Linked DNA regions of Cricetulus griseus. The protein of the gene in region 2 purifies or fractionates together with the protein of the main gene of each other region. This does not show direct contact. Links are inferred from orthologs where the notes say so. Each region holds a gene or a part of one and is shown on either strand. Other genes may lie near its edges. The genes, in order: Fam216a, melanoma-associated antigen 10, Foxj2 and Qser1.

Evidence for each region.
Region 1: the proteins of melanoma-associated antigen 10 (region 2) and Fam216a purify together in Homo sapiens (affinity purification with mass spectrometry; 3 studies listed by BioGRID and IntAct, counting the BioPlex papers as one, with this or other methods). This does not show direct contact. The link is inferred for Cricetulus griseus from reciprocal best matches to the Homo sapiens genes MAGEA10 and FAM216A.
Region 3: the proteins of melanoma-associated antigen 10 (region 2) and Foxj2 purify together in Homo sapiens (affinity purification with mass spectrometry; 3 studies listed by BioGRID and IntAct, counting the BioPlex papers as one, with this or other methods). This does not show direct contact. The link is inferred for Cricetulus griseus from reciprocal best matches to the Homo sapiens genes MAGEA10 and FOXJ2.
Region 4: the proteins of melanoma-associated antigen 10 (region 2) and Qser1 purify together in Homo sapiens (affinity purification with mass spectrometry; 3 studies listed by BioGRID and IntAct, counting the BioPlex papers as one, with this or other methods). This does not show direct contact. The link is inferred for Cricetulus griseus from reciprocal best matches to the Homo sapiens genes MAGEA10 and QSER1.

The regions. Positions count from the first base shown.
Region 1 is NC_048597.1:102,210,151-102,214,167, reverse strand, and holds the start of Fam216a (protein FAM216A), read left to right. Parts: upstream 1-1,199; 5' UTR 1,200-1,476; coding exon 1,477-1,541; intron 1,542-1,908; exon of another isoform or gene 1,909-1,993; coding exon of another isoform or gene 1,994-2,031; intron 2,032-3,005; coding exon 3,006-3,064; intron 3,065-4,017. Other genes in the region: Gpn3 (GPN-loop GTPase 3), read right to left, coding at 669-716.
Region 2 is NC_048604.1:3,529,554-3,532,293, reverse strand, and holds melanoma-associated antigen 10, read left to right. Parts: upstream 1-1,179; coding exon 1,180-2,181; downstream 2,182-2,740. UniProt on the Homo sapiens protein: Not known, though may play a role in embryonal development and tumor transformation or aspects of tumor progression.
Region 3 is NC_048601.1:22,239,704-22,244,016, forward strand, and holds the start of Foxj2 (forkhead box protein J2), read left to right. Parts: upstream 1-1,500; 5' UTR 1,501-2,514; intron 2,515-2,673; 5' UTR 2,674-2,774; intron 2,775-3,054; 5' UTR 3,055-3,129; intron 3,130-4,313.
Region 4 is NC_048599.1:72,904,958-72,908,523, forward strand, and holds part of Qser1 (glutamine and serine-rich protein 1), read left to right. Parts: intron 1-908; coding exon 909-1,061; intron 1,062-1,882; exon of another isoform or gene 1,883-2,011; intron 2,012-3,297; coding exon 3,298-3,393; intron 3,394-3,566. UniProt on the Homo sapiens protein: Plays an essential role in the protection and maintenance of transcriptional and developmental programs.

The DNA.
Region 1 (4,017 bases), on a different chromosome or scaffold from region 2:
CCAAGGCTCAAACTTCTGAGGAACAGTGAAGAACAAGACCCTATTCTGGGTGTGTGACAGAGGGCCTGTACCGAAATGAGTCAAAAACGGACTCAAATTCTGGCCAGAACCGTATGACTTTGAAAAGTTATCCTTTCTGTAGAATGAGTATAGGTTTAAGCTAGGGAGTGGTTATGAAAACACTTGGGACGGCCAGAGCAGTTCCTGGAGCAAAAGTATCCTATTAATATTATTATTTTCAGGCCGGGCGGTTGTGGCGAACGCCTTTAATACCAGCAGAGGCAGAGGCAGGTGGATCTCTGTGAGTTCGAGGCCAGACTGGTCTACAGAATGAGTTCCAGGACACGTTCCAAAGATACACAGAGAAACCCTGTCTCGAAAAAGCTAAGAAAACAAAGTGTGTTGTGTGGGTTCCTGCACGTGAATGCACTGTTCGTGGAGGCCTGGGGCTGGAGTTACAGCTCTGTGTGTGTGCTGGGACCCGAACTCCAGTTCCCTGGAAGAGCACAAGATCTTAAGCGCTCAGCCACCTCTCCTGTCCCCCCAGTAATTAGTAAAGCTGCCTTTACTCCTCCAACAAAAACAAGGAACAAGCAGAGAGCGGAAGCGAATTACCCAGGGCTCCCGGGAGCCCCGACGCCCACGAACCGCAGCTCCTCGAGCCTCACCTTCCCGCTGCCCGCGGGGCCCATAACTAGCTGCGCATACCGAGGCATACCGGCTCTCCGCCTTCCCCCGGCCGCCGGCGCTCACACTCCCTTCAGCCTTCGCGCGAGCTCCCCTGAGCTCCGGGGACAAGGGTACCAGCCAATCGCGACCCAGATCACTGTTTCGTCCCTGGTATTTACGCCTACGACTACGGAGCGTCCCAAGAGCCAAAATTTCTGAGAAATGTGACCTGACGGAAAAGAGGAGGTGGAGACGCGGCTTCACGCGTGCGCAGAGAGAGCTGCGGGCCGTTGTCAGTTGGCCCACAGGCGAGGCTGGTTGCCTAGGTGACAACGAATCGCAGTAACGCTCAGCTCCTTCAGGCCGGTGCCCTGGTTCTTGGGTTTGACTCCTAGGGTGACATCCTAAGACTTGCAGATCCACCGAGGGTCTGGAATACTGAGGTGGGAGACACCTTTTGCTTTAAGGGAGAGCACGCGCACGCGTGTGCATGTGTATGTGAGTGTGAGTGTGTGTGCGTGCGTGAGTGTATGTGTGTGCGTGTGTGTGTGTGAGTGTGTGTATGTGTGTGTGTGTGTATGTGTGGCCTTGCCCTGACACGTCCCTGTCACGGAGATTTGCCAAGGCGTAAAAGCCTGGTCACCTGAGGCCTCCTCCTCCTCCTCCTCGTCCTCCTCCCCCCCGGGTCTAGCACCAGGGTCTCGGGTCGCCTTCGGCACCGTCCCGAAGCCGCTCGGGCAGGGTCGGAGGGTAGAGCCGGAGGCCGCGGCGGCCTCACAGCGGGCGTGGCGCGCGCGTGCCGACGGGATGCCGAGCCGTTGTCCCGGGGTCGCAGAGCTGCCTGCATTGGTCAGGACCGAAGGCTGCGACGGGTGAGGCCCGGGAAGCCCCGCTGAGGAGTCGAGAGAGAGAGAGAGGGAGAGAGAGAGAGAGAGAGAGAGAGAGAGAGAGAGAGAGAGAGAGAGAGAGAGAGAGAGAGAGAGAGAGAGACAGAGACAGAGACAGAGAGAGAGAGAGAGAGAGAGAGAGACAGAGAGAGAGACAGAGAGAGAGAGAGAGAGAGAGAGAGAGAGAGAGAGAGAGAGAGAGAGACAGAGAGGAGGGGGCGGGTGAGGCCGCGAGGTCAAGGGCTGACGAGGCGGCCTCGGAGCAGGACAGCAGCACTGTCACCTGCTCTCGCTCTCAGCGCCCCCGGAGAGGGTCCTGCGAACCCAGTAGGGAGCCGAGGACCCAGCCCCCACTCCCACCCCCAACCCCTAGTCCCACAACCCCCGCCACTAAGCCAGTCCCTGCGACATTGGCCGCCTCTTTATCGGATGGGGCTATGGGCCAGGAAGGCCTTGATCATGACTTGCTTGACGGGTAGGTTTCTTGAGACACACTCCCATAGCTCAGGCTGGCCTTGAACTACCCGTCCTCCTGTTCCACTTCGGAGTGCTGAGATAGATGTCTGGTGTGGACTATTACTCCTGACTAGGCGGGTTTTAACTATTTCCTGGATGGTGAGGACAGTAGACTTGTAATGTCACGGCTAGAGGCCATGCCCCTGTCGCACCCCTTGCTTCCTTAAAACCAAGAGGAGCAGAATTATTGCGGGGGGGGGGGACCCAGTTAGGTCCACAACCATGGCTCTTGCTAAATCCACGGCCATGAAATACATACTTATTTATGTTTATTATTATAATGTGTGTATATATATACATATATATGTACATTTTATTGTACTATAGTGCTAAGACTTCTTTAAGATGTGATGCCAGGTTCTTTCTTGTTCTTGACGATGCTTGGAGGTGTTCTGGTTCAATGAACTCAGTTACTGAGAAACTGCAGGAAGCAGTTAACTTTTTGAGAAAAGGAAAAAGAACTGATACAAGATGGGAAACATAACTGGTTAAACTTAACAGTTCCAGCACAAAATAATTACTCTTTTCAGTACTGAAATGATTAAAGAACAAGAAAGATATCCTGTGGATAGTACAGGAACCAAACTACTCATTTGGTATCGCTGTAACAATTAGACTAGGAAGCTATGAAAATGAGGCCAACTTTGACTAAATCATTTCTAGCAAAGTACAAATGGGACTGGCGATATGTATGGCTCAGTAGTAGAGTACTCGCCTAACTTCTGTGAGTCCTGGGTTCTGTCCCCTTGAAACACACTCACTCTTATCTTAGTATGATAAAAGTCTGACAGCTCACTGAGAGAAAGCTTAGCTGCATCCTTCTTGTAGCCAAATGGGAGAAAAGTTGCAAGACACTGATGACAACAGGACAAGTAAAGGGCATGTAAGCTGTCTGTCATTGTACATCCTATCTTCGATGTTCTTTTCTAACAGGTCAGCTGGACATTTTTATCACCAGAATTCCAAAGGCACTGGTGGACAGCATAAAGCAGGTAATGCATGTAGATGACAGACGTCACTAATTACACATGAAGTTGTAACAGTAGGCTCAAAGGGCTAGCAAGATGGACCACCTGTGTTCAGTTCCCCCAGAACCCACAGGGTAGCAGTGAACTGATTCTTCTGAGCTGTTCTCTGACTTTCATCACCCTTGCTCTTTCTCTCCCTGCCTCACACATACACAAATGTAAAACAGACTTCACTAGATTGAACATGGGGCTCTGTACACGCTAGACAGCTACTGAGCTGTAGCTCTAAAAAATTATTTAATATCCCCAGTAAATTTGAAACTCTTTTTAAGAGTTTCAAAGACCAGTTCTTTCTCTTTTGTTAATCTATAATTAGCATTGGTTGGAAATTGGGCATACCTGTCATGTACTCATGGACTGAAGGGGAAATCCTACACGAACAGCTTCAAAAACTATAGACTACTTTACAGGGAGCACTTTCGTTTGCTTTTTATTTCTCCAGACAGGGTTTCTCTGTGGCTTTGGAAGCTGTCCTTGGAACTAGCTCTTGTAGACCAGGCTGGTCTCAAACTCACAGAGATCCTCCTGCCTCTGCCTCCTGAGTACTGGAAGTAAAGGTGTGCGCCACCACCACCTGGCCACAGGGAGCACTTTCAAAATACCTCTTTTCAGATGATAAGAGAAAAACATCAGCATCCAAAGACCTCCTACTAATATAAGGAAGGGGAAAGGGTGGGGTACAGATGTTTACAAAGTGGAGTCACAAATAGGCTGGTAAATGGTAGTTTATTGGGGAAAAGTACTCACGCAAGGGAACCAGTGACCAGGTTTGCACCTGAGCAGGATGGACCCAGAAATGCTTACCAGTCAGCCCAGCCAGGTGTGGTCAGTAGTATCTCTAATCAGGATTTCTCCCTACAATTCCCCTTTTAGTCTAAAGAGGATTTAAACTTAACAATGTAAGTTATCTATAATTA
Region 2 (2,740 bases):
CACCTTATGCCATCACCCCTAAATAGTTGTTATCAGTTGAAGGCACCTTCACTGTCTTCTGTTCTATTTCAGAGAGGTGAGCAGTTGTCCCAGGAGTTTGCCTCAGACTAGCAGATGGGTGGGGTCCAGGAGTTTGCCCTAGACCAACAGAAGGGTGGGTGGAGTCCAGGAGTTTTCCCCAGCCTAACAGATGAGAAGGGTCCAGGAGTTTGCCTCAGGCCAGCAGATGGGTGGGGTCCAGGAGTTTACACCTTGCCACAGAAGAGAAGGGCCCACGGATTTGCCTCAGGCCATCAGATGGGTGGGACCCAGGAGTTTGCCTCAGGCTGGCAGGTGAGAAGGGTCCAGGAGTTTGCCTCAGGCCAGCAGATTAGTGGGGTCCAGGAGTTTACACCTGGTCAACAGATGAGAAGGCCCAGGGGTTTGCCTCAGGCCAGCAGATGGGTGGAGTCCAGGAGTTTGCCTCAGGCTAGCAGATGAGAAGGGTCCAGGAGTTTGCCTCAGGCCAGCAGATTAGTGGGGTCCAGGAGTTTACACCTGGTCAACAGATGAAAAGGGCCTAGGGGTTTGCCTCAGACCAGCAGATGGGTGGGTTCCAGTCCCTGACAGGAGACAAGGGAGAATCCAGAGTGAGCACAGAGAGAACCATACACTTAAGAGCGGGGTAGCTCTTTACAGTTCAGTTCAGGCTCCTGTCAGGAATGGGGATCCAGTACGGGCTTTGCAGTCTATGGCTGTGTGGCACCTCATCCTCTCTCATAGAAACTGGGATATGAGGGTCTTGGTTTGAGATGGTTTTCTGGGATCAGACACTGGGGAAGGCCCAGGCAGGGTCTGGGGCAAAGCTGAGGCACACACTGTGAATATGTACCACAAACACAGCAGTCTCAGTCTGCTTAGCCCCATACAAGCTTCTGGCAAATCTGAAGCCTCTACTCTGGCCCAGTTGCATTCTGAGGAAACTTGTCGCTATCCCCCTCAGTCTCTCAAGAGACAGATTTGACAGGGAGATGGGAATCCTTGTGATTTTAGAGCATCACACAAGAGAAAGCCTGTTACTGGCTTTTGTGAGCACTTCCAGTTGGGTGACTGGCAACAACTTCCACTTTCTTCTTCTTCCCCTAGGTCTCTGGGTCTACATCATTGTGCATCTGCCTTGTGTTCAAGACTAGAGTCATCATGCCTAGACCTTGCAAGCGTAGGCGATGTATGGCTGAGGGCGAGCTTGAGGCCCAAAGTGAGCCACAGGACCTAATGAGTGCTCCAGTTTCAATAGAGGAAGTAGATTCCTCATCCTCTTCTACTTGCTCCTCCTCTTTCCCCTCGTCTTTCTCTTCTTCCTCTTCTTCCTATGCTCTAACATCCAGCACCTCAGAGGAAGGGTTTGTTGCTTCCAGGACATCAAGTCCTTCTCATAGTCCTCCAGGAGCATGCTCCTCCTGCACTGCCATGATCTCCTCTCCATGTAGCCAATTCAGTGCAGCCTCTGAACCTGAGGAGGGTTCAGGTTCCTCAGAGGTCATGCCTTGTGCTGCTTCATTGTCTAAAGGTGAGATAGATGTAAAAGTAGATGAGTTGGTAAAGTATCTGCTCTTTAAGTATCTAATGAAGGAGCCAGTCACCAAGGCAGAAATGCTCAGTAATATCATTAGAAATTATCAGGACCACTTCCCCTTGATATTTAGAGAAGCCTCAGAGTGCATGCAGTTAGTCTTTGGCATTGACATGAAGGAAGTACAGCCTGCTGGCCACACTTATATCCTTGTTACATCCCTAGAGCTCACCTATGATGGGATGATGACTGATGTCCAGGGCATACCCAAGACAGGCCTCCTGATAATGGTCCTGAGCATAATATTTATGGAAGGCAACTGTATCAGTGAGGACATGGTGTGGGGTGTGTTGAATAACATAGGCTTGTATGCTGGGAATGAACACTTCATATATGGGGAACCCAGGAAGCTCATCACTGATGATTTTGTACAAGAAGGATACCTGGAGTATAGGCAAGTATCTGGCAGCCATCCTCCTTCCTATGAGTTTCTCTGGGGCCCACGAGCCTATGCTGAAACCACTAAGATGAAAATCCTGACATTTCTGACCAACATCAATGGAAGTGACCCCAGATCATATCCAGTGTGGTATGCAGAGGCTTTAAGAGATGAGGAAGAGCGAGCCTAGGCAAGCAAAGCCTGGCACATGATATGACTGCCCTGACCAGCACATATTCTAGTGCTCTAGCAGTTTACAACTCAGATAAGGTCAGGTCAAGTCAGTGATCTAAGCAGTGGACCCTCATTCTAGAGCTGGTGGTTGTATAGTTAAATTATCCCACTTTTACTGTTCTGTTGGGTGACTCAGGGATTTTTCCTCTTGGTACTTTAAAATGTTGCTACGTTTGCTAGAAAGCTCGTTAGGCTGAAAATTTAAACTTCCAGGTTGTATTAGTCATGCACTTACTGCTGTTTATCCATGTTTAAAAAGTGTTGTTATTTTGTAAAACAAGTTGGGATACTTTCCATCTAATCTGTAATCTGTCACAAAACACCATAGTAGTGCAATTGGTATTTCTTAGGCTATGGAAAATAACTTACAGAATAGAATAAAACTGTTATTTTTATCACCTTTTGGTTGTTAGTCTCTTATTCTGGTTAACTAATTAAATTCTAACTTAAAATACAGTCAACGGGCTCCAATGCTCCAAACTTTCATTAAGCATATGGCCTTTGTAAGGCCTGCC
Region 3 (4,313 bases), on a different chromosome or scaffold from region 2:
GCAAGCACTCTACCAACTGAGCTATAACTGTAGCCTCCTCTTTCCTTTTTAAAGACAGGGTCTCATAAGGTAGTCTAGTTGGCCTTGAATTCCAGAGCCTCCCCTGTGATCACAGGGAGTGGCCCATGCTTGAGGAACTGCATCTTTAAACTGGACATTGGAAGCGTGGGGAGGGAAACAGCTTCGTTGGACTTCACTCCTGGCAATTTGAGATTGGCTTATGCTTTCACAGTTCAAGCCAATGATATACTAGGGATTCTGAGGCCATTTGGATTTGACACCTGTCTTAAAATAGTACTACTAATTATGTCATGGTGTGAATTATGTGAACTGGGACACAGACAACATCTTCAAGCCATACTTATATTCTAGAAGGTGCAATAACAGTGCTGTATGGAATTGCTAGAAGAATCAAGCGTGACAACACATGGAGAGTGCAAAGGTTAATGCCTACACATTGCATGTGTAATGTAATTGTATGTACATAGAACTTAACTACGGTAGCATGTATTTAGCCATTTAGCCATGACATTACTATCTAAAGGTAGTTATCAAACTGTAATCTTTTTGAGCAATTCGAGTATCAAATGAATAATTTTTTGCCTTTATCATTTTATGTGAGAACACAGTTGGAGAAGAGTAACTCAGAGGGTTTGTACTTGAAAGGCGTTGACTGGGGGTAGAAGTGGAGATGGGCTGCCCTGGTGGTATTTCCTGCCAGGGGATGGAGATTAATCTGTACCGGAGTAGAGGGATGTGCTGAGAGCATTCCATCCCTCTAGTGGCACTCACAATAAGGTGTTCTATAGAGATGTCACTTGATTTTAGCACAAAGGTCAAAAACGATATTTTAAAAGGCATGTCAAGGGAAAGGGAAATTAATAATCATACTTCCGCACCCCTTGCATACTGTACGGCGTTAAAGAGCGTCTCCACACAAGTCGTTTCCTTTGGTGACTGCGACATCCATATTAGTAGGCAGGCCAGAGTATCCAATTCCCCTCTTGGATGACTGTGACTCCAGAAACAAGGGCCTTGCACAAATTTATGGAGCCAGAACTACCACAAGACACCATCTCCGACGTTTATTTCTCTATGACAAGCTCATCTCTCCTTTTATGCATCTTCTGATCCAAGAAGCAGTCACTGACCTCCAAGATAAGAGTAAACTTTAACTTCACGGCAGTCTCCATAACCCTTTATAAGCTGTCTGGAGGAGAAAGAGAGAAGCCATCAAATACGTTTCTGAGAAAACTGGCAATGCTCGTCTAGGAGGAGACCGCAGCACAATGAGAGATCTGCGTGGCCATTAGCGTGGACACTGGCACCGCTAGTGCCCGGGAGCCGAGGGCCGGCGACCGGCGGGCTGCGGGGATCCGCGCTCCTCCTTAACCCGCGCCGGGAGGCGGTGGCCGCGGCGGCGGGAGGGGGAGGGGCGCGGAGCGCGGCGCCGAGGCCGGGGAGGAGCCGGGGCCTGCAGCGGAGCCGAGCCGAGCCCGAGCCGAGCCCCGACGCGCTCCGTCCGCCTGCCGGCTCCCGGGAACCCCGACCGGCCAGAGCCTCGGTGGTGGCAGCGCGGGGAGCCCCACGCTCGGGGAAGCGCGGCGGACGAGGGACGCGACGGGGGAGGCGCTGCCGCCCGGCAGCGGGTGACGGGAGCCGGGACCGCGGCCTCCGGGACCCTGCTGCCCAGGCCGGCCGGGCGGGAGCGGGAGTGCGTGGACCCCACCCTCGGGGCACCGGGCGCCGGGACCTGCTCCCTCTCCCGTGGGAGGGAGGACTCTCGGCATTCCCGGGACGGCCAGAGGAGATCGCCGCAGGGCGCGCGCTGTCCCTCCCACGCCGGCTCCGGAGGAGACCCCCAGAAGTCGGGAAGGGTCGTGGGACCTGGAGGACCCGGAGTGAGACCGCCCCCACTCCTCAGCGCACTCCAGACAGTTCGGGACTTTGGAGGCAAAGAGAAAAGGGAGCCATGTCTGTGGAGTAGGCACCCAGCACTCACCGCCGAGAGGCGTCCTGACACGCACAAGCCCGGACCCTCCAGGGAACCCGCGGCAATCGGCTCCAGCTTGCTGGAGAGTGGAAGACCTCGTCCCTCAACTTCCGTGCGCCTCAACAGTGGACCCGGGCAGAGCCCCTCCGCTCAGATCTCCAGCAGACAGAAAGAGCCCTCAACCCCTGGAAGATCCAGTTTGGGGGGAGGGGGGTTCCCCCAAAGGGGAGGAGACAACTCCTGGCTGGGAGAGGCTCCTCCCCTCATCCCTAGGGTAGCAGGCAGGGTGTGGGGGGTGTGCCACCTTCCCCAGGTAGGTCCTCCCTCTCCCCCTCCTCCTCCTTCGGCTCCTCTTCCTCGGGGGACTCAGTTCCCCGCTCCGGCTAGGGAGGCTCCGCCAGGCACTGCAAGAGTCACAGAGGATGAGACCTGTCACCTGCCTGTGAAGAGGGGAATCCCTGCAACCTCAAACTTCTGTAGCAGGTGGTTTCCTCCTGTGGCTGGGGGAACCTTAGAGGCAGGTTAGTGCTTTCGTGCATTTTCTCTCTGTGGTCTTTAGGCACCAGTAGGTACGGGGAGCTGAAATGGTGGATCTTGGGGTTCATTCCTGTGGAAGGTAGCGTCCCCTGGGAAATGTGTTCAGATGGCGCTTTTGCATTGGAAGCCGCATGTTGTTGCAGAGACTCAGAGAAACGGGCTTTTTAGATTTCGGAGACCAAAGGGATGGGTCATTTGCTGTCCCTAAGAGAAGTGGATGCTCTGTACTGAGAACAGACAACAGGTGCGTTTTTTCTGGACGCCATGGTTACTGTTAGTAATGCAGGACACAGCACAGCCAGAATCCCACAGCACACTCCATCCCTGGGTCTTGTCCTCTGGTGAGTGGACCTGCTGGAAAGTGATGGGGGCACCTTGTGTCTTGTCTAGGGCATGCTCTAAGTCAGCAGAGCATGCCTAAGTCAGTGTAATGGCCAGCAGAGGTCTTCCTTCCAGTCTAGCACAGTGACTATTTGCCTGACTGTCAATCTGTCCCCACCCACTCTCTCTATCTTGGATACCAGGAGGCCCTTCTGACATCCCTGCTTCAGGCTGGATTTCTGCCATCCAAAGGGAAACGGGAATCCACATGCCCTGAGGTGACTAGGGTAGTGCACACTGGTGGGCGGAAGTCTTCCCAGATACTGGTTGTGTCATTAGCTGACAGTTCCTCAGAAAAATCAGATTGTGGCTAGGAGGCAGAGTGTTTCCTAGGTTCCCTCCACACCTCATCTGCATGAGTTGACCACCAGGGAGGTCTGACCTCTGCAGAATTCTTTTTAGACTTTCCTTCCAGGAAAACATCGACTGGTCTCTTCATCACTCTTCCTGTTCTCTTGCTTAGTTCTGGGTCACAGGAACTTCGTGGTGAAAATTTTCATCCTAATCTTGGGGAATCATCAAAAATCTAGAATCTTTAGAAAAAGCAGGACAAAAGGCACCAAGAAATTTTCCTGGTTGAGCCTAGGCTGTATCTGTAGCGGAGCTCTGAGTTTTCACACGTGGTCACTACCTGCACGCCTTCTCTCTGGTCTGGTCGTTGGACCATGCCTCGTGTTCTGTATGGGGCTTCCTCCCCTTGGATTTTCAGTGTCTGCCTCCCTAGATGGGCCGTGGGCAGACTGCCGGAGTCTCTGTTGGTCCATTGGATCCTGGAGGTTTCTGTAGTGGTGGTGTGTCAAAAAACGGAGTTGTAGTCCACAGGTCCGATGGCTGTGCTGTAGAATGATGTACACGGCTCTCAATGGAGATGGAGATTGTTAGGTGTCTGTGTTTTGAGCATGTACATGGAGATGTTTCCAGAGTGTGCTCTCTGATCCCTTAGAGTCATTTCTGGCAGGCATGTAGAAGCAGGTCACCCTCTGCAAGGACCTAGAAGACGTGAGGGTGCAGATGACCAGCTGCCAGGAAAGCTTAGTGGTCCCCTCCACCGCCAGTGGGAATTCTCATGGCCCCCTCCTGGCAATCATATCTGGCAGCAGGACAGCCCTTTCACAGGTTGGGTCTGTTTCTCTCGGGACTGGTAGGAGAGCTTCATCATGGATACCTCCAGTGCCACTTTACTTTTGTGTCTAGAATTGCCTCTCCCACTTTTGAAAAAGAGATGTCTCTGGCGTAGCAGTGTTTCTTTTTCTTTTCTTTTTTTCTTTTTGGATTTTTTGAGACAGGGTTTCACTGTGGCTTTGGAGCCTATCCTGGCACTCGCTCTGGAGACCAGGCTGGCCTCAAACTCACAGAGATCTGCCTGTCTCTGCCTCCCGAGTGCTGGGATTAAAGGCGTGCG
Region 4 (3,566 bases), on a different chromosome or scaffold from region 2:
GACAGCTCCCTGTTACATTTAGACCTAAGAAAAGATTTTGTTTGTTCTTTAAATATACTCTTTTCAGGTTCACAATACCTGTTTATAGAAACTGAGAACAGTGAAAGTTAAATTACATTCTGACCCATAAGTGTAACAGCAGCACTTTTAACCCTTAATGCATAATAATTCTTGCTGCTGCTAACTAAATCTAATTTTAAAAAGCTGTAATCAGAGTCATTATAGTTGTCTTCAGGAATCATTGTGCTATTGTGTGCAGCTTCTCAGTTCACAATGCCTTTCTAAGCAGGTAAGGGCATAAAAGTCAGTGGGTTTTGAAGACTAGACTGGGAATGCATCTGCCATGTGGCTACTGTGTCATCAGTAGCAGCTCCTTTTTTTGGTCAGAACCATCAAACTCTGCTTCAGGATTTTTTTTTTTTTTTTTTTTTTTTTTTTTTTTTTTTTTTTTTTTTTTTTTTTTTTTTTTTTCTGTGCAGTCCAAGGAAGCCAAAGGAGTGCTGCAGAAAACAACAATTCTTCTTACTATCTTTTGTCCCCATCTTCATTTAGAGTCTGATGACCTCCCTGTAGCTGGTTTACCTCTGGTTCAGGGTATTAGTAAGGGTGGGAGAGGTATTTTAAGAAATGCATATATCCCTATTTTCCCTATTTTGAAATCAAAGGGACATTTCTAGTAATAACTTAGGATTCCTTCCGTGTGGAATGCTCAATAAATCAGGCCAGATTCAAAGAATGGGAAACATAACCCGCACTCTGTGGGAGAAGGTTCAAAGATTTCTAACTACATCCCATTGTGACCATCTGCATGCGTGCATGCGTGCGTGCATATTTGTGTGTATATAAATTTTGAATGGCTGGAAATTCCAGTTTTCTGATGTCAGTTGTTATCCTTCATTATTTTAAAGAATGCTTTGGAAAGTTTTCCTGAACTAACAATTATTACTCGAGACTCTAAAGCAAAAAGTGGAGGATCTGCTATTTCTAAAATAAAAATGAATGGCAAAACTTATAATAAGAAAACTCTAAGGACTTCTAAAACAACCACTAAGTCTGCACAGGTAAGTACATATTGCTTAATGAATGTAAACCTTTTCCAGTTAACACAGCTCCCAAGACACCATTGAAATAAGCCTATTGTAATCGTGAAGTGTCATCTTTGGGGTGGAATAAGCAGCTGTGCTCTGAGGATGGGACATTCTTGTTATTTCTTCTATGTATGCATTGAACTGTACCTGGTAATAGTGAGTGCACACTGAATATATAAAATAAACTAATAAGGGAATCATCCGATGTTTAAGTTTATACATTTGCATATAGTTTTAAAACTTTTTAATTCATTAAAAATATTTATGTGTCGCCAGGGGTGGTGGTGAACGCCTTTAATCCCAGCACTCAGGAGGCAGAGCCAGGCAGGGGCAACAAAGTGAGTTCCAGGACTATTACACAGAGAAAACCTGTCTGGGGGTGGGGGAGGTGTTCTGTGTGACATGTTTTGGAGCATATTGTGGTAAAACGAGAAAATTCATCATTTTGTACCTGTTCAAAGTTACCTGTACATGGTTTAGAAACACATGTTTTAGTGTGTGTAAACACTAAATCATAAGATTGAATATTGATATATCTGTAAAGTCACTAAAATGACATCTGTTTATGTCTACAATATACTACACACTTTTCAGAAAATAGTTCTGCATTATAACAGTTTCACATCAAAAAATGTATTCAGTAATTCAGACCTGATGGTGCATACCTGATTCCTAGCACTTGGCAGGTGGGAGGCAGAAGGATCAGAAGTTTGAGGACAACCTGGGTTATATGAGACCCTATCTCAAAGAAAAAGGGTATTTTCTGTAGAAATACATTCATGAACACAAAGAGTTTCCACAGCTACTGGTCTGCAACTGTTCTTACAGTAGCAGTTGTAGCATTCCTCTGTGGGAAAGAAACTTACACAATTTAATTCCTCTTTCTTACCAGACAGAAAGAAGAATATGCGTGACAGACACAAAGTTAAAACACACACACACACACACACACACACACACACACACACACACACTATATATAGTTATTGCAAAGTAGTTTACAAGAACCAGTTTGCAGTGTCATACACCTTTAATCCCAGAGAGAGGCAATGGAAATGCTGTGAGTTCTAAGACAGCCAGGACCCTGTCTTCAAAACAAAACAAAACTGGTATGTTTGTTGGTTTGGGGGTGGTTTTTTGTTTTTTTACTTGCTGTATAAACCAGGCTGGCTTTAAACTCATAGATGCACCTGCTTCTGGAGTGCTAGGATTAAAATAATATGCATGATGCTTGGTTTAAAAGAAGACCCATTGATTGTCTACCAGACAACTACAGCAAAACACTTTGTATATTTATACTGACAAAAGCAATTCTAAGTAGTAGGGGACTGCAGAGAGGTGGCTTAGCCACACCTATATACATAATCTAAAGTAATAAATAACTAGGGGTACCATAGTAAAAGCTAGCCAAAAATCCATATGTTCCTATATTTTTTATTAGGGGGATAAAGATGGAATGATATACATATAATAAATCCAAAGTTATCCAAGTTGTATGCTGATTAAAAAAATATATGTTGGAACTTTCGTGGAGTGGATGTTGTAGGTCAACTTTTATTGGGTGATTCCTTGTCAGAAAATTAATGTTCCTGTTTTGAAAGAAAGGAAGAAATAAAGAGAAAATTAATGTTACTTAAATATTCAAGCCTAGCCTAGGGGAAGAGCATGAAAGACTATGTAACATGCCACCAGCCACATTTATCTCTGAAGCCATATTAGAATCTGTTAGTCTGCATCTGGAATGCTAGTTCCTGGTTACAATTACATGCAGTACTTGGGAAGCAGATGGCAAGAGGATGAGGGGTTCAAGGCCAGACTCAGCCACATGGGCTCAGTTTTAAGAATGAGGTGCACTAGGGAGGGAGAGGCAGGTGGATCTGAGTCTCAGGCCAGCCAGAGCTGCAGAGTAAGATCCTGCCTCAAAACAAAACAACAACAACAAAAAGGCTTTTATTCTTTTGTTATCTTACATGCTTTTTATTTTGATTTCTCTATAATGCTAGTTTTTCAAGTAACAGGTACTCATAACTTAATAAAAGATTTATCATGATGATTTTAAATATAATTTATATTTAAGCTCCCATGTATATTAATACAGCATCATACCTAGCCATATAAGACATTTTCCAGGTTGTAATTCACTATGGATCTAATATTTTTTAGCTCTAACATTACATGAATGTTACCTGTAAATTTCTTTCTTTTTTAGGAATTTGCTGTTGATCCAGAGAAAATACAATTATATTCATTATACCATTCACTCCATCATTATAAATACCATGTTTATCTAATATGTAAGAATGAGGTAATTCCTTTTATTTATTTAAAATGACATAACATGTTTTTCTGTTTGTGTTTTGGTTTGGTTTTTTTTGTTTATTCAAGACATGTTTTCTTTGTGTAGCCCTGGCTGTTCTGGAACTCACTCTGTAGACCAAGCTGGCATAAGACTCAGAGATCTGCCTGCCTCTGCCTCTG